Drosophila melanogaster: one gene and its partners. Changing the gene in region 4 together with the main gene of any one other region gives a genetic interaction. Each region holds a gene or a part of one and is shown on either strand. Other genes may lie near its edges. The genes, in order: N, ebd1, dome and upd2.

The links.
Region 1: of upd2 (region 4) and N, changing one suppresses a phenotype caused by changing the other (phenotypic suppression), as found in Drosophila melanogaster (2 studies listed by BioGRID).
Region 2: of upd2 (region 4) and ebd1, changing one suppresses a phenotype caused by changing the other (phenotypic suppression), as found in Drosophila melanogaster (one study listed by BioGRID).
Region 3: of upd2 (region 4) and dome, changing one suppresses a phenotype caused by changing the other (phenotypic suppression), as found in Drosophila melanogaster (one study listed by BioGRID).

Annotation. Positions count from the first base shown.
Region 1 is NC_004354.4:3,133,141-3,137,916, forward strand, and holds the start of N (notch), read left to right. Parts: upstream 1-1,729; 5' UTR 1,730-2,527; coding exon 2,528-2,687; intron 2,688-4,776. UniProt on the Drosophila melanogaster protein: Essential signaling protein which has a major role in many developmental processes. Functions as a receptor for membrane-bound ligands Delta and Serrate to regulate cell-fate determination.
Region 2 is NT_037436.4:682,339-687,051, forward strand, and holds ebd1 (earthbound 1), read right to left. Parts: upstream 3,212-4,713; 5' UTR 2,810-3,211; coding exon 2,690-2,809; intron 2,354-2,689; coding exon 728-2,353; 3' UTR 547-727; downstream 1-546. Other genes in the region: hiro (highroad), read right to left, coding at 3,653-3,948, 4,004-4,189, 4,243-4,713.
Region 3 is NC_004354.4:19,677,472-19,685,226, forward strand, and holds the start of dome (domeless), read right to left. Parts: upstream 6,048-7,755; 5' UTR 5,500-6,047; coding exon 4,361-5,499; intron 1,860-4,360; coding exon 793-1,859; intron 711-792; coding exon 1-710. Other genes in the region: Ubqn (ubiquilin), read left to right, coding at 6,530-6,625, 6,969-7,755. UniProt on the Drosophila melanogaster protein: Critical for epithelial morphogenesis during oogenesis; border cell migration. Required in the germarium for the polarization of follicle cells during encapsulation of germline cells. Required for embryonic segmentation and trachea specification.
Region 4 is NC_004354.4:18,240,144-18,244,915, forward strand, and holds upd2 (unpaired 2), read right to left. Parts: upstream 3,142-4,772; 5' UTR 3,077-3,141; coding exon 3,055-3,076; intron 2,949-3,054; coding exon 2,422-2,948; intron 2,075-2,421; coding exon 1,937-2,074; intron 1,739-1,936; coding exon 1,205-1,738; 3' UTR 511-1,204; downstream 1-510.

The DNA of each region.
Region 1 (4,776 bases), about 15 Mb from region 4:
TATAAAAGCAAACGAAAATGAAAAGTAAAGCAGCAGCAGCAGAAAGCAAAAACAATTTTCTAAGCCAAAATTTATCAAATTTTTTAGACTTAATTACGTATACATCAAACGAAACCAACTGAATGCAGTGAGAGAAAATATTTAGATTAAGTGCTGTGCTGCATCTGTGACCCGGTCAAGAAGAGCCAAAAGTAACATATATAACTATTATTTTGCACACAAACAAACAAAATTGAAATTGAATTGAAAACTATATTTTTACGGGATGCTACAGTATTATTGCAATTTAATCGATAATCCCCAAGCCGCAAAAAACTAAAAACAAAAAGATGTCCAAATATTGGTGATTTACGAGTAAAGTGAATAAAATTAGAAAAACCACCAACATATATATATATATATATATATATAGTTCCCACTTTCCAACTTTTTGATCGGGTTTTCAGTGGCACAGCATTTCAGCATCCATGTGAAAAGTTGAATATTTTTTTGTCTAGCCCTAAGCGCGTAAATGATATTTGAACTTAAATCAATTATGTAAAGAAGCAAATGAAATATTGTATATCGTATATATATATATATATATATATATATAGAGCATAAATGTGTATGTCAACGCTTGAATTAAAAAATGACTAGCTAAGATTAGAGAGAATGTTTGTAATTTTTTTTTTTTGTCTGCCTAGTTTAGGTTTAAGCCTATTTATAGACGTAAATGAAGAATTTTAAAGGTAAAAAGAAAAACTTAAAAAGCTTAGAAACAATTTGTAAAACATTTGAGCGATCTACCAAAAAAAAAAAAAACGCAATTAAGTGTAAAGCGTTCAATTTTTAACACGAAATGCTGCCTTATGATTCCTCGTTGGGTTCTTAATTCACTAAGCCAATACTGTAATTAATTAACTAATTTATTGTTTCATATTTTATTTTTTGTTTCTTTCGAGAATATACATATGTATGTATTTATCTAAAGTAATTCTGAAAATGCTTAAAAATAATGCCCGTTCGTTTAAACTGATTTATACACTCGAATCTAATTCTATTCTTTCCGTGGGCCAATTGCGCCGAGCTTTTTAACTGGGATAGCGTTCCGAAAATCGGAGATAAGTATGGTGTTACATATTTTTTTTTGTTTTCGATAATTGTCAAACGATTCAATTAAGCGTTCAATTATATAGACGTTACACACGAAACGAAATGAAATTCAAATGAAATCCTATTAAGCCAAGTAAAGTATGATAATTGCAGGAAGCGGAGTTGCGAAAAAAAAAGGTACGGAAAATGAAAACTAAGAACGTATTGCGGGAAAACCTAACTTAAGTCGAGAACAACTCAAATTAGTTGAAATAAAGATACGAGAACAAAAGGAAAATAAAATACTTAAAAAATGCTACAAGTGCGTTTTTCAATCAAATTTATGCACATTTTTTTCCAGTGCCTACGAATTTTACATTGTCGAATTTTACATTATACATAGCGTAATTTCTACGAATCTTACATTGTCGAATTTTACATTTTACATAGCGTAATTTCTACATACCGCTATGACGGCACTAAAGCGCCATTCGGCGAAATGGGGAAACTACTCATGCAAGCGGCTCGGAGCCCGGCTAACGTTATTTGTTCACCAACCGATCTCGCAACGCTGCGAAAGAGCGCGCTGCCAAAATGGCTCCCCGCCATACGGTATCTTTTTCTTGCACCGACGCGGTCACACTGCCGATTTGAAACAGATCGCTTTTTTCCAGTGGACGAAACGGTTGTGAAAGCGGACGAGCGTTAGGCAGACGAACCTGGAAAGCGCAGAGCACAGTTCTCAACATTTATTTTTTTTTTGAATGTGTGTGCAACAACGCACGTAAAATCGCGCTGCCAACAGGATATACAAACAAATCAATTACACAGCAAGCAAATGCAATGAAATGAAAAGGATGGCCCCAGCGGGAAAGCCGTTCAGCAAGAGCAAGGAGTGCCTGTCGCAGGGATAGCAACGAGAGAGCGACACAGAGAGCGAGAGAGAGAGAGGGAGAGAAACAAGGATTTTCGAAAAGTGTATCTACCTCGAGTCGCGCGTGTGTGAGAGTGAGACGAAAGCCGAGTGCAAGAAGCGCAAGAGGAAGAGAGCAATACGCAAGCGTGCGGCGTCGGTTTGAATTTGAATTTGTGGCTCGATCCTCGCGAAGAGAAAAGCAAGCAAAAGATACACGAAAAGCGTTCTTTTTTTGCCACTTTTTTTTTATGTTTCAAAACGGAAAATGTCGCCGTCGTCGGGAGAGTGCCTCCTCTTAGTTTATCAAATAAAGCTTTAAAGTCTGAAGTTCAAAACTATAAAAAACAAAAAAAAAAACAAAAAAACAACAAACGCGCTAAAACAAAAAATTGCTTAAACTACTGAGACTAGCATACTAAACCTAAACTCGCAGTTAAACATATCCTCAAAGAGAGACCAAAGAGGAGCGCTAAAGAAACCGAGAAGCGAGTAGAGGTGAAAAACTGGAAAAGTGGTTAACTGGAAAACTGGATTACAATGCAATCGCAGCGCAGCCGACGTCGCAGTCGCGCACCAAACACTTGGATTTGTTTTTGGATTAACAAAATGCACGCCGTTGCGTCGCTGCCGGCGTCGCTGCCTCTGCTGCTGTTGACGCTGGCGTTTGCGAATTTGCCAAACACCGTTCGCGGAACTGGTGAGTAAAGCGGAGACGCCGATCAGAACAACTAGGCGGGGGGAGGGCAGGGTGACAGGCGGGGTCGCCCGAAAATAGGGTGGGTGCACAAACTGGAATTCCAGGAGGCTCAAAACGTTCCAAAACGCTTGCCAAAGAACGGTTTTTTACAGAACCAAAACTATGAGATAAGATGATCTTGTATAGCTGAAAGATGTGGATCTCAACTAATAGTACTGAATCGCATAATTGTTTGGTCTTAGATGTCAGTTTTAAATGGAGCATACTTAGTATGAAACAACTAAAATTGCAATTACAAAATATACATACATTTGCATTGGACTAGTTCCGCTTAAACCCGTTGGATAGATCGCTACATTGCATAGCTAGGAAATGTTGGTCTATAAAATCGGATGCATTCGCAACACATATAAGTGACTGAGCAAACCCATGCAACTGTAATCCAAAAAGGAAGTGATGCTACTTAATCTGCTTAATAAGCCTATAGGATTGTTGCAAATCCTACCTTAAAGAATTTCACTTTAAACGCAATCGTCGGAATCCGCTCCCAAATGCGTTCTCTGTGTTTCTCCATTCCCTTTTCGATCCTCTTCGTTTGTCTCCCTTTTGGGCAGCTCCTCTTCGCTCTTCGCCTTCCTTTTCATGGCTTGTATTCACCGCGCTTCCTTTTGCGCTGTCTTCCTTGGCTTCGCTTTGTTGTCGCTTTTCGGACAGGTGGTCGTTTTTTTTTCCTCTCTCTTTCTCTCTCTCTCTCTCCTTGTTGTCTCGCTGATCTCGTTCTCGCTCTCGCTCGATCGCTGTCGCTGTCTCGCTCTCCGCCGACTGCGCATGCTCTCTCAGATTTGGAAACCCACCTTTTCGAAACAAGAAAGACCGTTTTTACCGTCGGCAAAAGGCGAGTTTTTCCATTCCCCTAGCACTCTAGGCACTCTTTCCTTTGTGTTTTCTCACTGCGCTATTTGCTCGCTAGTAGTGAGTGGCCAACTTCCTTTCCAGCTTTGGAAGCGAACTCTCCTCCTCCACACGCTGTGTTGTGCCGCATGCACATGGGGCTTACTTGGGTATTTGCATATGGAGCGGTCGTTGTCTAATCACTGAACAAACACCGAATCGTATCGGATCGGATCGGATCGGTTGTAGGTGTACTTAGGGTCGATTGCCCCAGTAAAATGTCAACTTTCCATGGAACTCGAAATCTCTTCGACGGAATTCTCGGCTCAACGATGAGAAAGTATGGGGAATGCAGCTCGATATCATAGTATTTTGAAACAAATTTGATAATGTCAGAGAATTTTTTGTTGTTTCATTATTCGAAAATCTATCGAAATCCATCAATCCATCAAACGTTTAAAAGCAATTAAATGATCATTACTAGAAATTTGATCCCTGAGCACTGGGCAACTTTATTATTACGCACTCCATGATCTCTGCTATTTTTTTTATATTTTTTAACAGCTGCAACCGAAGAGCGTTGAACTATTATGTTTATAACTTTTACCTGGGCATTTCCTGAGCTCGAGTTTCCGCCTCCTAAACTCTTTTTTTTTCTGGCTTTATTAGCCATGGGTAATCGTGTGATCTTTGCAGTTTTAGCCAAAGGAAGTTGTAGTAAAAGTTAAATAAACGGTATAAAAAAGTATACAAATGCATATGCATATAAAGGTGAAAAAAATGCTGAAAGTAGTAATAATAAGAGTGTTAATTGATGCCAGGATATATTGCAAAAACAAAAAGGGCATCCTTTGCATTCAGTTCACTTCATTCTACTACTGCGCTAAGAAAAAAGTGTTCGAAGATGGAAAAAAAAAACCAAAAAAAAAAACAAAAATCTCTCGAATCTTCATGTACATTTTTGTACCTATTAAGTTCTCACAAATTTACGCCCCATTAGCTCCAATCCAAGTTTGTTCAACTTTGTGCGATCGAACGCCTGCATTTAGCCACAAATTTAGGGTATTATTTTTTTGCAGGTTTAATGTGGCACGTAACGGTTTCGAGAAACGAGAACCAGAACCAACCACCGCATTCGATTTCATCATATATGTACACAACCAGGCGCATATAGAAAGAATGTAGTTGGAATAAACGA
Region 2 (4,713 bases), on a different chromosome or scaffold from region 4:
CTAAGGGCAGACCTGCGCACTTACCCATCTTAGCCCCAATCAAGATTGTCGGCATAAGGAAATCATCAGCAAAGTATGAATTTATTTTAACTCGCTCTCCAAAATTTCACACTGATCAGGGAAAATTTTAAAATACACTCTGAATCAGGGAAATTCTCTCTTTAACAAGATAGAATTCAATGATTGACCTCTTTGTTCCGTTATTTTCATTTACATGCGCTTTGTCTCTTTCTCTCTTCTGGCTCGCCTGTGTGTGTGTGTGTGGGTGACCTCCCGCCCGGCAAAAAAAGAAGAAGAAGCCCAACTAAGGGCAGACATGCGCACTTCGAAAAAAAAACAATTAGCGCGTATATTTAGCCGACTTTTTGTTCTGGCGAGAATGTGTGGAAGGAAATGTAGCTGTTATAACATACAACACAGGTCAAAATAATAGGGTTACAGTCGGGAGCATAGTATAAAATAGTTCCAACAGACCAATTGACAATTGACATTAGCTCATTCATCACAATATTTTATAACCACATCAAATTTACTCACTAGAAACTTGGTTTGATTGCGTTTATTTGGTTCGAATACAAATTATGTTCACCTTAGATCTAATGATTGATTGCATCCGACCGATGTGCATCTTCTAGATGCATCAGTTTGCAAAGATTACACTCTTTGGCTGCAGCTATTCCTCCTCCTCTTCGTTCTCCTTCATGTGGCGCTCACTGTTTGGAGCATTCTACGGCACATTGTCATCCATTTCGCGCATCACTTCATCGGCTCGTGTGATCAGCTCAATCAGCCGGTAGTTCTCCTTGTACAGAGCAAACTCCTCGAGTAGCTTTAGGTACTTGCGTGCATCGGCGCAGCTGATGACACTGGACCCACTTTCTTGGCCGGATCCCCCATTGTTGTTATCGTCTTGGGCGGACTCATAGCGACGTTTGGTGCCCTGGCGAGGATTCAGCGAGTTTTCAACTGCCGCAGGCGAACTCACCTTTCGCTGCCGCATCTGCTCGATGTACTCCATCTCGTCCTCCACATTGGCCGCCAGAACCTCGGCCAGCGAGGTGACACTGGAGCGACCATTGTTCGCGTCTTCATCGAGATCCGCTGGGTCTTGGTCCAGTTCCGATTCCAGCTCAGCCTCTGGCTCCACTTTTATGTGCACTGTAGGCGGAATTTCAAGATCCTTTTCCCTTTGTGCTCGGTCATCGTTCTCCTGGAGCTCCGCCTCGGGCTGCTTCGCCAGGAGCTCTTCCGGGTCCTTGGGCTCCACTTTGATTTCCTTTTCCTGCTTGATCTCTAGTTTGGGCGGCGGTACCACCGGTCCTTTGTCCTGCTGCTGTGGGGCAGGAATCTTGGTGATGCTCTGAGCGAGCGTGGCTAGTGGTATGATGGTCATGGTCATGGGCTGTCCGCCCGCTTGCGTCGGAACAATGGGTGTGGCCAGGAGAACTTTTTGAGTGGTGCCTGGCGGTGTGTTAGCTTGGAGGGGCAGTCTAACTAGAGGCGGCAAGGGCTTCAGAGCCCTGGCAAAATTTAGTTCGCTTAGTGAGGGCTTGACATCAGGCTCCTCCTCCAGATCATCCTCGCCGCTAATACCGCCACCGTCGACATCCACCTCGTCATCCTCGTCTTCTACATAGCTGCGGGGATGGCTGCTCACCGGGCTGCCCAAGCTGACCTCTTCGTCATCCTCCTCGCCGTTCCGTGGCCCACTTTCCGGCATGCTTTCCGACATGACGTCCTTGACGATGTCCTTGATCTGCACCGAGTAGCCCTGCGTGTAGCCTATCTTCAACAGTCTGGTGTCGCTGTGTTGGATGCTGTAGGTGCGTCTGAACTTGTCGCACCACTCCTGGTGCGGAAAGAAATGTGCCAGGTTCATGGAGCTCTTGAACTGCAGCGCCATCTTCTGGATGAGTCCGTCGGAGATGCTGAAGTCCTTGTAGTACATCATGCGGCGTATCCAATCGTACACGGCCTTGCCCAACATCGAGACCCTGACGGTCTTCGTCTCCATGGTCTTGGCGTCCTGGCTCCTGCGGGTTCGCTGATCCCACGCGTTCAGAATCTCAGCGCGCTGCTGCACGATCCGCTTGATCTGATCTGGGCTGCAGTTGAACAGCCGGCCAACGTGCTTATAAACCGGCAGCCGATCGTATTCCCGCAGAGCAGCAACCTTTTCGTTGAGGGCCAGGACATTCTTGCGCTTGATGCGATTGTCGAAGGCCACCTTCTCGGCGGCCGGCAGGCTGGGGGTGTGCGTGCTAGTGGGTGTGGGTGATGCAGTCGAAGTGGGTGCTGCTGGTGGAGCAGGCGCAGGCGCAGGAGCTGGTGTGAGAACCTCCGTGTCAGTGGCCTAACGACGAAGGGAAAAAAAGTGCTGTTATTACCGGGTTTTATGGTAACAGTTGAAATCGTGCAAAGTAATGCCACCATGAATGTAGAGATACAGTGCTCCCTCTGAACATGAATAATGTAGACAAAACAACAGAAGGTCTTTGCATATTTAGTTATGTTAACAAAAGCAACAGTTAAGAAAGACGAAGTTTCAAGGAATACATGGGGCTTTTATACTCATACTCATTCAAGCTTATATACAAATAAACGCCTAGATCAAGTCATTTACACTCGTGTTCTTTGAGAAGTGAAATGGGGTGGAAACACTTTGCGAGGCTTGACTGTGGCCACTTACCTTCGCCTTGTTGTTGTTGTCCTGCGTCTTGGAGGCCTCCTTGTGCTCCTTTTTCTCCCTCTCCACGCGCTTCTCCACCCTCAGCTCCCTCTGCAACTTGCGTTTTTCGCGTATCCGCATTGTTTGTGCTTTCCGTGCAATTTACACGGCAATTGCCGTTTGTTTTCGTCTTGTTTGTTTTTGTTGCTGCTGCTGCGCCCACTCAATTTCGCCCACCCCTTGCACCCTTTCTGCTCTCTCACTCACACACCCGCCCGCCTGTGTGTGTGTGTCCGTGCGGCTGTGTGTGTGCGATGGCTACGATTATGCGCGTTGACTGTCAAGCGAATTCAAATCATTTCGTCACTGCTTTTCTCGCTTTTCTTTGGCCTTTCAATGCGCTTTGGCTCTATTCGCTTTCGTTTTCTCTTCCTAGGCACTCGATTTGTCTTCTGATTGTGATTTTCCAACTGGCCGTGCGCTGCACCTTGCGTATTTTCCGATGTCCGTGCGAACTAGACGACGACCCATACAAAAATAGCTGCCGCGTTATCTCGCGCAGTTTTCATTCTCTGCTCGCTCCCTCTCTCGCTCTCGCATGCGCAACGTGGGCAACTAGAACGGAAGGGAAGTCGGCGTGTGCGAGAGTGTGTGTGCGTGTGACCAGCTGAGAGGGTGCAACTGCGCATGCGACAACTTTACTGTTACTTTCGCCATGTGGCAACTCTGCAGGCGATCGCTTTTTAAGTAGAGTAAGATTAATGAGAACATACATATGTATGTATGTATTTTGTTTTCAGTTTAAGAATGAATTGATTTCACAAGATCTGCAACTAACTGCACTGTAAAATATAACTATAAAGTCTTTGCGAATTGTAATCAATATTTAATTTAAATTAATCGAACCACCACCAATTGGAAACCCACGAGTCCATACATTTCGAAAATAATCTTTATTTTAACGCTTTTCTCCGGCTAATTTGTTTAACCGAATTTGGTGAAGTGTCGCAGGATGTGCGACATGGCCGCGGGATTATCGGCAGGAACCATGTGACCAGCCCGGTTGACCCAAAACATGCTGAAGTTGCCATAGGTCTTCTCGTAACCCTCGAGAACTCGATCTACGGTGATTCCCACGCGCGGAGAGACCTGGTAAGATGGCTTGGCGGACCATTCCATTGCTTCGATCCAGTTGACGGCTCCCGGAGTGGCGCAAATCAGGTCCAGTCCTCCGGAGAACACGCCCACTTTTACGGTGGTGTTGTTCAGCAGTTCACCCACTAAAAGTGTCATAAGGCTATAATTTGAGGTAGCACCCAGACGGTTGAAACATACCAACATCCACAGCTGGCTTCATGAAATCGCCCATCAGCTTGGTGAAGGTGGTGCCGCTCTGGGCGCCCCATTTCACTCCGGTGTTGATTCCGAGGGCCTCGGTCACGGGTCCAAGCATTAGATCCTCCAGCAATTTGTCGCGGTCCTCATCCACATCGAATTTCACGAGGGTGCGATACATGACCTCTGGATAAGTGGTTGATGAGAATCAGCTCGGTAAGTTACGCAACGGATCTTACCCTCCGGAGTCATGGCAGCTCTGGACATCAACCTGTACTGATCACCCAATGTTGGGGTCTCCACGTTATAGAAGTCCACTCCCTTGGACTCGCGCAGCACCACTGACTGGGTGGAGCTCCACTGCAAAGTGGCCTGTGTCCACTTCTCGCGGTCAACATAGTCCTTAGTCTTCAGGGCCGAAGCTTCAATCTTGTCATGGCCATCCTGATCCACGATTCCCAACTGCAGCAGGAAGGGAGCCCACGAGAGCACAGAGTCTATGGGTGAGGTCCAGGGATCTCCCAAGGCCACCGAAACAAAGTTGCTCTCGATCTCACCGCGCTTGATGGCGTAATCCAACTCCAAAGCGAACTCCGGGGCCATCTTTCCGCCATAACTCTCGCAGAAGATGTGCAGCGGCACAGTCTTGAATTCCGGGTGGTTTGTGTAGAAGCCCTTCATCAGCTCAACGAGATCCAGGGCGATCTGCT
Region 3 (7,755 bases), 1.4 Mb from region 4:
CGGCAGATCCTGCGGCGTGTATGGCGGCGAGTCGTCCACCCGTGTGCACACGATGCCTCCGCTGACGGACGAGTCTGGACCCAGGCCCAATCCCAGGCCACCCATGTCTATGGGCTTCTTCATGGTCTCCATGATTCCCTGCGGCAGCACTAGACCGATATCGGACATCTTGCGGTATTTCTTGTACACGAGGTAGAAGATGACGCCCAGCACGAGAATCGCCACGGTCACCTCAATGGTCTGGTACATGGCCTTCACGCTGTGCGTGTCCGGTGTACAGATGAATCCGTAGATGCCCCAATCGGATCTGTAGAGCCGGTAGGCGGTCATGTTGGCAGCGTAGGCCTCGAACTGCAGCCGCTCCTCTTCGCCGAGCGCATCGGTGCGTGCCTCGCATCCCTTGCCGTTGGTCGACATAAGCAAAACGGCACCTTCCGCTGCATCCGCTCCGTTCAACTGCGGATGCTGCTCCACGTTGATGGCACGCACCGCTAGCTGGAAGGGATTGTGGCTGGTGCAGCGCGGCGTGGCCATCACATAGGATAGGTTCCTGCCCGGCAGAATGGTGCTTGTCAGGCAGCTGGCGTTGTTGTCGCGCAGCGAGATCTCGTAGAAATCAATGCGTCCGGCCGGCGTCCTTGGCGGTTCCCAGTCGAGACGTGAGCTCTGATCCGGATTGTTGATCACGTACAGTTGTGGCGGCGAGGGAACTGCGCAAAGGATTACACGGATAAGTATACATTGCCTATTTACACTGGCTTCAATGCTAGCGAAACCATCGATAGCACTTACCTCCGATGGCCGTGCTGAAGAGGATCACATTGCTGGGCTCCGATGGATAGACGGTCCGCGCACGCACGCTAATCTCGTACTTGGTGAATGCGGTGAGATTGCCCAGCCGGTAGGTGATGGGCTTCTCGTTGTTCACCAGCTCGTCGGCGGAGGCGCTTACGCGGAATGTATCGGTCACGTTGTCATGTAGCGAGCGGAAGGTGCCCTCGTAGGCGCGCACCACGCCGTTGGCCAGCAGCGGTGGCTTCCAGGCGAGCTCCACGCTGTCGCTGGTCACGCGGATTAGCTGCAACTCCCGCGGCTGGCTAGGCGCCGCCTCTCCGGTGCGGTTGACCAGCTCGTCGCTGTACTTGCTGACCCGCGAGTCCGAATACATCAGCATCTTGACACTGTAGTCCGTGTAGGGCACCAGATTCTGGATGACGTGCTTGTTCGTATAGCGATCGATGGTCACCGTCGTGCAATTGTCCGGACGGCCGGCCGAGCGCTGGCAGTAGGTCAGATTATAGCCGGCCAGGATCACTGCGCAGACGCGCTCCGACCAACTGACCGTCAGTGAGGTGCTGGTGGCCACATCGATCGACGGCTCCATCTTGGCCAAATCGTCCTTCTTGTCGCTACTGCAGATCGCCCAGTGTAGGCCCGTATTATGCGATTGGTAGTTGGCCGACACGGCCATGTGCAGCGTGAGCAGTTGGTCCGGTGACGTGGTGAAGTGATGCAGACCGCTTGCGACCTCCGCGAAGCGTATCGAACCCTCGCATTCCGACTGCAGGCCCGGCTTGGGCACGCACCAGAAAACGGTGTAGTTCTGCAGTTCCCGCTGATCGCTCGGCGGATCCCAGCTGAGCGTGTAGCTCTTGTTGGTCGGATGATAGACGCTGCGTATGTTCCTGGGCTCGCGCACCTTGAAGTCCCGATTGCTAATGGGGCCGATCGTCATCGGAGTGGCGTTCACAGACAGACCCTGGCTATTGCTGCTGCGGATGAGGAAGTGATGGACGGCACTCATGCTCCAGTGATCGATCATCGCCGAGTTGGACTCCACCTTGATGAGGCCAGGATCCCTGAACGAGTCGAGGTATAATCATATTAGCTAATGTATGGTAATGAAGATATGCATCTTACTAAACTAGACAATTGAAGAGTGTCTCGACTACCAGCTACCCTGTACTCACATAACAAATTTTTCAAATATGTAAGTGCGCGTGGGCGCCATCTGTTGGCGGAGAACAGCATTGTTTTGCTATCTGTGTTTAGGTTCACAAAAAAAATGTTTATGTAATTTGTGATAAGAAACTTTTTTCCAATTAAATAATATCAATGAAATTAACAAAACATACTGATTAATAATTCAAGCGAAGCTGGGTTTAATAGTTGAACTGCGGTCAATAATTGTATATATTATACCGAAATTTATATTTTTCTTGGTAAATATTAATGTGATAAACCAAGCAAAAAAAAAAAAAAAACAATAATAAAAACATATAGTGATTAGCAAGGTAGCAAAAGTATCCATTGAATTCTTTATATTTTCAGTCAAACGGCACTCGCAATTCTTAGGAATACATTTTTTTTCTGGGTAAGGATCATTTGGGAGAGTTCACATGGATCACGTGGATCCAAAATACCCGATGTAAAATCGTTACTGTTGCACAACGTATATGTAAGTATGGTTTATTTTTGAAACAACAGTATAATCTTTACTCAGAATATTTAATTCCAAGGAACAGCAGTTCTCGGAATCGCAATCCTATTTGTCATGGAAAGACGAGCATTTATCTACGCAAGTTGTCATTTATTGAGGGAATTTTCCAAAAGCTATCATTCCACTGAAATGGGAATTGCGTTTTGCAACCCCAAGATTTCCATGAAACCAATTCGATCCATCCCTTCTTTTGTTTTCACTTTTCTAACTCATTTTACGGCATTTTAACAATATTTATTTCATTGGAAAATTAATTAGCCAGATTGGCGTAAATATTTTTAAATATTGCCAATGAACATATGTTTGTGTATAGAGATAATCTTATTCTTATCGTTACTTAAGCCAGTGGAGAAATTGTTCAAAAATGTCTGTTAGTAAAAAAACCCTTTTGAAACTTCAAAGAGAATCCGCTTTTTAAAATCTGGATTTGAAATTTGCTTTGCATATAGTGCTTACAACTGAGCGGACATTTTAAAGTCGAAATCTATAAAATCCCAAAAATACAAAATTTTTGTAGATAACACAATAACTAATCGACTCTTTTTTTTCCTTCGCTTGTATTTAATAATAAATGCGAACCAATGACGTTGAATTTTGATATAAAAAATGAAAACGATTTGAAAAAGCTCGGATTTGTGTTTTGAACTCAATATTTATTTTTCGTTTTTGATAAGAACCGATAATTTTCCCACATGTATTTAATCTGTGCAAATTGCTTTTGCGTATCAAATTTATATGAATTTATTTTTAGAACCATATATTTGAAAAGGGTTTTTAGAAAAACAACACTACGCCGACGCGTTAATTTCGAAGTAATTTAATGTGCAAAAGGCTAAAATATCACACCTAATTTGGTAAAAAAATTGCCTAGCAAATGGGTTTTATACTCTGAAAATATTCATTAATCTTGGCGCATTTTGAAGCATTTTTTTTACGCTAGATAGCTCTCGAATAAATCCATATTTTGTTCTTCAAATTTCAAACTCAATTTGTTTGTTTTCCTTTGAACACTTTTCGAATGATTCTATGAAAATACGAGAAGACTGTGTTGTGTTTGTTTACACACGAAATTGTAATCGCAAGTCGTCAGAAAACTTTTGATATCATAGATGTTTGGCCTCGAAATTGCCATTGTCACCGGCTGGGCTTGTTATCTAGCCAAGATTGGTATTGCTCGAGTCTTTGGATGCCAGAGACATCATTCATCCATATATGTATGAATGTTCGCATGTAGGTTGACACTATAAATATATATGTGTTTTTTTTTAGCACGTCTATTGAATGTTGCTGTCTTCTGATCAAGAGAATCGTCTGGAGAACCCTTCAGTTTTGCCATGGTTGACAAAGATTTGGCAACGATTACAGCCACGCCTTGCAATCCGAAGACGCCTGTTGTCTGCTGTATACCTTATGTATACAGACTCCTGGCGATTCTGGGGGAAATGGTGGGTCTGCCTCCTCCGATTTCCGTGGAAGTGCATTCGCCCAGAATGCCGCCGCCCATCTGCCGTCTTCCCATTAATGAACGTGTTTCTGCCCTCGCCGCGCCACTGGCGTGCATGTGTGTACATATGTATGTACATCGGCACTTCGGACGAATTGTTAAAAATAAACATTTTCAGCGGAACCCCTTGAATGGAAATGTGGCTCCCGGCGTGTGTGCTTGTGCAAATACTACGCCGTATGGCTCTATGTGGCTCGCCCTAACGTATTCGCAAGAAGTCGTCGTTCCGGCGAATCTCTCCGGTGACTCGAGACAGGTTTGCCAATGCCCCAATAATTAGCTGCCAAGCAGCTTACGGCGCATATTCATATTCACATATAGGTACTAACCACCATCCCAGTTCCCCTCCTACTCACACTGCTGTTCCGTTGATGCGGTACTCGCTGATGGAGTACCGAAAGTCCGGTCCGTTCAGCTCGTGCTCCTCCAGGGGCTCCCAGTAGAAGCGCATAGCCTTCTCCGACGAGTAGACATAGAAGCTGCCGTAGGTGACGCGAGGAGGGCGGCGCGGCGGCGCCGGAGCGGTGGCGAACGCATAAATCATGGGCTCGCTCCAGAGCGTGTTGTTTTGGTTGGCGCGCACGCGCACCCGGAGCGTGTAGTTGTAGCCGGCGAAGGGCAGCTCCGTGAGGCAGAGCGTGTCCTTGATGGTCAGCGTGTGGTTTCGCCAGCTGGGCCGCGTGATGGGCTCAAAGTTTTGCGGCGTGACGCGCACCTGCCACACCAGGCCGCGATTGTAGTTGGACCGACGGGGCATCTCCCACGACAGGCACACGGAGCTCTCGGTCCTGTTGAGCAGGGTCAGGTTCTGGCCAGGTCGCGCCGGCACCAGACGCTCAAAGTGATTGATCGTGATCGGCTGCGTCTCGTGGCCCAGGGCATTGGAGATGGACAGTCGGAAGTAGAAGGTCTCGCTGAAGCGCTTGTAGTTGTCGTCGGTTAGGTTACAGGTGACCACTGGCGCCGAGTCGAAGTTGCAGTCCAGTGTGTTGCTATATCGCCAGTCGTTGTTGGTGTTGTAGCTGATGTTGTACTTGGTGATGACCGTGTTGGGCGGCTGGGTGAAGTTGCACACCATAAACTGGAAGTCGTAGTCCAGGCAGTTGAAGTCGCGCACCAGGAGCGGCCTGGTGCCCACGTAGACCTTTGACTTGTTGATCACATACTCGTCGCACATGCAGTGGTAGTCGTTCTCTTGCTCCACGGCATTCGTGTCGCTAAACAGGATGGTGGTGTTGTTCAGGATTCGGATGTGCTTGGAATCGCGGTAGACGCGGCCGCCGCCTGTAAAGTACAGCTTCTCCACCGGGCAGTCCTCGGCGCTCTTGCCGTTAAAGTAGTCTTCGTTGAGGGTGCAGCTCAGATTAAAGTCGCCGCCGATGAGCTGCTCCACCTTGGAGGGAATCACCCAGCCAGGATCCAAGATGGCGTTGGCGCCACCCCGGCAGCCGGCAAGCAGCATGAGCAGCAGGACGAGCTGCTCCTGGGCCACCATCTTCCTGGTCCTGGTTCTGCTCCCAATCCTAATCCTAATCCTAATCCCCTCCTTCCCTTGCTGTTAAGGTTTACTCTGGCTCTCTCTCTCTCTCTCTCCCACTCTGTCTCTCTGTCTTTAGCTCTTTTCCTCTCTTTCTGTCTCTCTCTCGCTCTTACACACGCGCGCACACCAAAACGGCGCTCTCTCACACACACAAGAGCACCTTGCTGTTGGCCTCGCACTTGTTGGCTGTGTATTGGTGGCCAGTTCTCGGAAACCGTTTATACGCTGCGTTCCTGGAAGTGGCTCTTAAACATTTCACTGCCCAGGTGTGGGCTTCTTGTCCGGGGCTTCACTACGACTAAATTACGAATAGGGCTATCAGGGCCTTGCAATGCCAATTGCTCGCTTCGAGCAACTGTGGTACCGTGTTACTGTTTTGTCTCTGGCTCTCTCGCAAATGCAGAATCCTCAGTTGGCTAAGGCGATCGCTCTCCTCCCTGCCCCCGCTCGCGATGCTGACGATATATGTTGTCGACGAGTTGCTTGTCCGCAGTGTGACCGCTTATCGAAAGTTATCGCAGTCCGATATGCGATATCACTGGGGCTACCTGTCGACGAACGGCCCCACTAAATGCGATAGGTGCCAAACATCGCATTTCAGCCGAAATTCGAATTCTAGGCCACCCGTTGCTTGTATCTCTAGAACGCCCTCTGCCGAATACGTTTTCAAGCAGAGCAAACTACTTGGCAGCGGTTTTGGACGCGTTCAAAGCGTTCAATTGGCCGCTATCGATTCATCGATTGGTGGTTGATACGTCAGCCCTGGCGTGTGTAAGAGTCAAAATCGAAATCCATCGTGAGTGTGTGTGTGTCCGTGTGAGTGAGAAAGTGACGAATTACTTTTCATCAAATGGGAAATAATTTAGGGTGAAAACACGTATATATTCGGAACACATTTAAATTACAGACGTGATAACATCTCGAAAGAACCAGCTACATCGGTGCAAATTAAGCTAAACGAGAACACCGCAAATACACCATCGAAATGGCGGAAGGCGGCAGCAAGCGCATCAACGTGGTTGTAAAAACGCCAAAGGACAAGAAAACGGTCGAAGTTGACGAAGATTCTGGAATAAAAGATGTGAGTACGGAGCACGTGACCCGCCTGACTTGGTTGCTGGTACCCCAAACCCTTCTGGACCCTTCCATTCATAGCGATGGACCACCTCCCTCCCTCCCTGCTCTTTGCCCACACCCCCGAAAGTATTGGGAAATTAGTGCCCGTAATCGCGGTACAGTGCACTTTGCCTAAGCCGCACACAACACGCGCAGCTGGTACAGTGCACTTTGCACAGTGATTGGTCTTCTTCCCATTAACACACATAAATTGAAGCAGAGGCATGGGAGCGAACATTTAATTGAAAGGGGAAACTAGACCATGGGCACATAATAATGACAACAATCACACCATTCTCGCCCCACAGTTCAAAATTCTGGTTGCACAAAAGTTCGAGGCGGAGCCCGAGCAGCTCGTGCTCATTTTTGCCGGCAAAATTATGAAGGACACGGACACCCTTCAGATGCACAACATCAAGGACAACCTGACGGTGCATCTGGTGATTAAGGCGCCGACGCGCAACAACGAGCAGCCGGCCCGACAGCCGGCTGACGTGCGCCAAACGCCCTTTGGCCTCAATCAATTCGGTGGCCTGGCCGGAATGGAGGCACTTGGAGCCGGATCGAACACGTTCATGGATCTGCAGGCGCGCATGCAGAACGAGCTGCTCAACAATGGCGACATGCTGCGCTCCCTGATGGACAACCCGATGGTGCAGCAGATGATGAATAATCCGGATACCATGCGTCAGCTTATCACGTCCAATCCGCAAATGCATGACCTGATGCAGCGCAACCCCGAGATCTCGCATATGCTTAACAATCCGGACCTGCTGCGCCAGACGATGGAGCTGGCCCGCAATCCCTCGATGTTGCAGGAGCTGATGCGTTCGCACGACCGCGCCATGTCGAATCTGGAGTCGGTGCCGGGCGGCTATAGCGCCCTGCAGCGCATCTACCGCGATATTCAGGAGCCAATGATGAACGCGGCCACGGAATCCTTTGGTCGCAACCCCTTTGCCGGCCTGGTCGACGGCGGCGGTTCAGGAGCCGGCAACAACCCGCAGCAGGGCACCGAGAACCGCAATCCCCTGCCGAATCCATGGGGCGGTGCCAATTCGGGAACCAATGGAACAGTCGGTGGCTCCGGCGCCG
Region 4 (4,772 bases):
GCATGTTTGTATGTGCGTACTATTCATTCAGTTGTCAATCAATCACAGAAAATTGTTTTTATTCAATTACATTGACAATGTGCACTGTTTATTTAGTAGATTATTTTATCAGAAAGTTCAGCAAAAACATATCCTCTTACTTTTCTCTGCAAATTTGTCTTTAAGCTATCTGAATAACAGAATCTAAGTATGCTTAAATTTGCTAAAGTCCACGTAATTGATATTATAGTGAACAGCATATATATATGTACATATATAATTGGTCTGCAAGGGTATATCAATTTCGCCATGCCGAAGTTAAAGCTCTTTGTTAGTGAGTAATCAAAAGCTATTTAGTGGGGGGCTCATTAACTCATAAATGTGTAGATAAATACCTCAGCAAAAAAAGAACAGGCATAGACTTGTTCCGTTTGTATTTAAAAAATCTGTCTATTAGGGAAGTAATAAATCGCTATAAATTATAGAATAGTTATATACTGTTCCAAAAGAATCTGAACCATTTTGTTTTTTGTCTTGTCTAAGTTTATTTTGCACAAACTTACAACTAAGCACAAGAATGTCTGTACAATACTACGCTTCGTTTTCTTTCACAATCGCTTCGTGTTTTTTTTTTCACAATCACTAAGAACTATTCAAAAAAAGTACTTAAAATAAATCACAGTAGATTTAAGCATTTTTTTGTTTGTGGCTGGGTTTTTTGTTGGGCTTTTGCTGGCGAGTTTATCTCGCCGTTGCACAAATAAATAGGTATAAATACAATATTGATATACATAAATAAATAAATAAGTTACTACACATAGAGAAAAAAAAGAGTCCATATTCTAAATGGCAAATAAATAGTCGAGTTGGCACTGGGCCGCATGGAAGTGCAAATGGGAAATGGGTTTAAATGTAGTGGATTAGATTGGCTTGGTTTGGCAACTGGAATGGAAGGCGCTCTAATACTCAATACTCAATATTCAATACTCAATATTCAATAAATAAATAAATACTAAAAGTACGTGTCTAAATGGCATTCGACAAAAATTCTTCGTTCTCGCCCGCTCGATTGGTCGGGTGGTCCTCTATTTGGCTTGGAAGCTGCAGAGCTGGAAAGCTGCTAAGCTTTGGAATGTGCAGCTGTAAGTACTCGCTATAATACTGGAAGGGCGTGATGTTGACCCGGCTGGCCGGCTCAACTGGCTCAGAGCTGGGTGCCGAGGGCTCAAGACTCATTGGATCCGCCATCGGAGCCGGAACTGCCACCGGATCCGTTCGAGGAGCCCACGTCGAGCATTTCCGAGCTGCCCGCCCGCAGCCCGCTCGCACCAGTTCCGTGAATCGCCGCCAGGTGTCGCCGCTCGGCACTATTGCGTCGCGGTCGCCGCAGGACACGGTGCAGGGTCTTCCACACGTTGTTCAGATACTGGAAGTACAGCTCCTTGCTGACCTTCAGGTCGCGCTGGTCCGCCTCCATGGATCCGTTGGCTGGCGTGTGAAAGTTGAGACGCTCCTCCATCGCCTGCCGGCTAACGCGGCTCAGCTTCGCACCATTGCTGTTCGGATAGGAGGCGTTTATGGTCAACTCGATCTCGCAGAGCATATAGCGCGCGCTGACCAGCAGGTCGTGCAGCTCCTTGGTGACCGCCTCGTTGAGGCTCTTCTGCTGATCCTTGCGGAACTTGTACTGCGCCCGTCCCAGATATGAGAAGCTGCCCACGAAGGTCTGCATGTGGCGGTACCAAGTCTTTAGCTTCACCTGTAAATTGAGTAGAAGAGTGCTCGTCAGTGACTGTTGCATGTGGATGCTGCGCAGCTGGGAAGGGCATGCAAATGAGGCGGGCCGACTGGGAAACTGGTCTGCGCCGCCCAGGGCGGAGCAGGTCCGCTTCACTCTGTCTCACCGCCTCGGTTTGGATGGATCTCTTTGGCGCGGTCTGCATCGGTATCAACTTACCGCACTTGTGGGCCTCGTCATGTTCGGCAGGAACTTGTACTCGCGCTGCCAGTGCTGCAGATTGCCGTACTCCAGGGTGGCGCGGTGGGTTATATCTTGGTATTCGCTCATCGTGATGTTCCGCAAGTTTTCGAGGTGCTGCAAGTGGAGAGCGGGGGAAATCGATGAGTAATGCATATTGGCTGTGTGACAGAATTTCTCGAACGTTTCGGGTTCAACTAACTGCCTAAGTAGCTGTCCTGCTAAAGATGCTAACAGGACACACAACGCACAAAAGTATCTATGTATCTTAGTATCTATGAAGCTGCGTTGCGACTATGTAAATATAAACTGTTATCAAACAATGTAAGAAAAGCTTGGTGTAGGTTGCTTTCCTCCATTGCCCTTAAGTGCTGAAGCAAATCTAAGTGATAGCCAAGATTGAGGTAGGTCACCATCTCTCCCATTTAAATTTATATGTATAACATTTTGGATCCCCTGCTCACCTTGCGCTTGATAACTCGTCCTTGGCTGGCGCTGCTATCGCTGAGGCTCTCGTCGGGCGTGTAGGTGCCTCCGCACGGGTTCTCCCACTCCGGGATCTCTGATTTGCCGGAGAAGAGTCGCAGGTTGTGGCTGCGCGCGTGTCGCGTCCTCTGACGGCGCATCTCCCGCCTGGCAGCCCGGATGGCCGCCTGGGCGATCTCCTCGTAGCTACTCTCGCTGAGACTCATATCACTGTCGTAGCTGCCCTCGCCGAAGCTATCGGCCAGACCGCGATACGGATTGACATCGAAGGCGGGCAGGATGTCGCCACCCGATGATGAGGATGACGATGACGACGAGGAAGATCGGCCGGAGTTGTCCTCGTCGTAGGCGTAGTCCAGTGCCACCTGGTCGCGCAAGTGTCGCGCCTTGGTGAATGGCATCACGACGCTCAGGATCATGATCACTAGCAGCACCTGCCGGCTGTGGCAGCTCCAGCTGCTGTGTGCACTCCTGCTGCTGCGGCTGCTTTGGCTCTGTTGGCTGGCTGCAAGTGGTAGAGATGGTGGATGCGTTAGTGGATTGGCCATCGTATCAGTTTGCAATGGGTGGTGGGCGGTGGGGTGTGTGGTTTGGTGGAAATGCGGGCGTACCGTTTAAGGTAAAGGCTGGCATTGCGCCTATCACTAACACTACACTAACTGGGCTAACTTGGCTAACTTGGCTAACTGGCTAACTGACTGACTAGCTGGCTGGCCAACTATCACAATCGCTTGCTGCTGCTGCTGCTGCTGCTGATGCTGATCGCTCCACGGTCTCTCCCGCTCGACGGCTGATGGCTAAGTGACTGCGGCTGCAGCGGCGCTCGAAAATTTGTAAGCCTCCAGCCGCCTGGCGTCGCTCACGCATTCCCACTTCCACTCGACTCGGCTCGACTCATTCTCCGTGCCGATCTCCCAATCCCAATCGATCGCGTCTGCGAGTGCGAGCGAGAGCGCCCGAGTGAGCGAACGAGCGAGTGAGTGAGTGAGTGAGTGCAATTACAGCAGCCCGACCCGTTCGAGGCCTTGAGCAATTTTCTGATATGGTTTTCGAGCATTTGTCATGCTCTCAAAGTCAGTCGCACTGGACGGCCGTCTCTCGCTCTCTCGGCCGCCTTTTGGCTGAATTTCACCAGAAAGATTACTCATAGGTATTTGGGTTTTTTTTTCGGATTTCGGATTTCGATTTCGATTCACGACTTCCGACCCGATCCGACCCGACGCGACCATACCAGGCCAGACCAGACGCTACCCAGACGCTCTGCGCGTCGGCGTCGGAGTCTGCGGCCAACGGTGACGTAGCCAGCGTACCCACCCACCGCCCACCGCCCATAGCAGCGCGCTCGACCTTTGAATAATTCGTTTTGCCGCTCAGCAGACCGCTCGCTCCGCACCGACCAATAACAATCCAGCCAGCCGTTCGGCGTCTCTGTTGTCGTAGGTCAGCGACTTGATAACGACGCCGACTGAGCTGTCGGCGGTTCTGCGACTGCGATAAGGCACGTGCTGCTATAGTACTAGTTGTTGTTGTTGCTGTTGCTGTTGCTGTTGCTGCGGTTGGCCAAGTTGATCAGCTGGCCAAGGCCATAAACACTAATTGGTCGGTTATCGGGATATTGGAAAGTTCTGCTTGAACGCAATGCGATGATTAATGCTCTACGATCTTGGCCAACGAAAGTTGCTAGTGTTCTTATCATTCGAGGATGGAACTTGGTCATGCGAGGTATCTAGATAGTCGGGAAGAGGAAGGGCTTCAAGTTGACGAATCGATTGGCAAATGCCAACTGAATGGTGGGATTTCACTGCTACCATTTACAACTATCTACATATGATACATATTGTTGTATCAAAATTAAGCTGTTATTTTTATAAATTTGGTTTATAATTAACCTGTCTTTAATTGAGCCCCTTTTGGAGGTAACACCATCGCGCCTTCGCACATTCCACCTTGCCATTCACTAGCATTGGCATTAGCGTCGAAGCCGATTATTAACAGTTCGATCACTCGCCATCCGGCAAAGGGGATTCACCCCAGAAAGCCCAGAAAGCAAAAGGCACTAGTACACTAGCACACTGCCAAATAGGCAAACTGGCAAGCTGGCCAAGTTGAGCACACAGCATTAATCATGGGAACCGATCGAAGGTATTCCGTAATGGGCCAGTTAGCCAGCTAGCCAGCCAGTCAGCTAGCAAATCATCTTTTTATAAACAATTGCGAAATGAACGGGGAAAGTTATCTTCTAACTGGGAAAGCGGTGATCTAATTTCGCAGGGACTTTGCACCCAAACCGATCCATACTCACTGTGAAGTCGCATTTTTGGGACCGGAT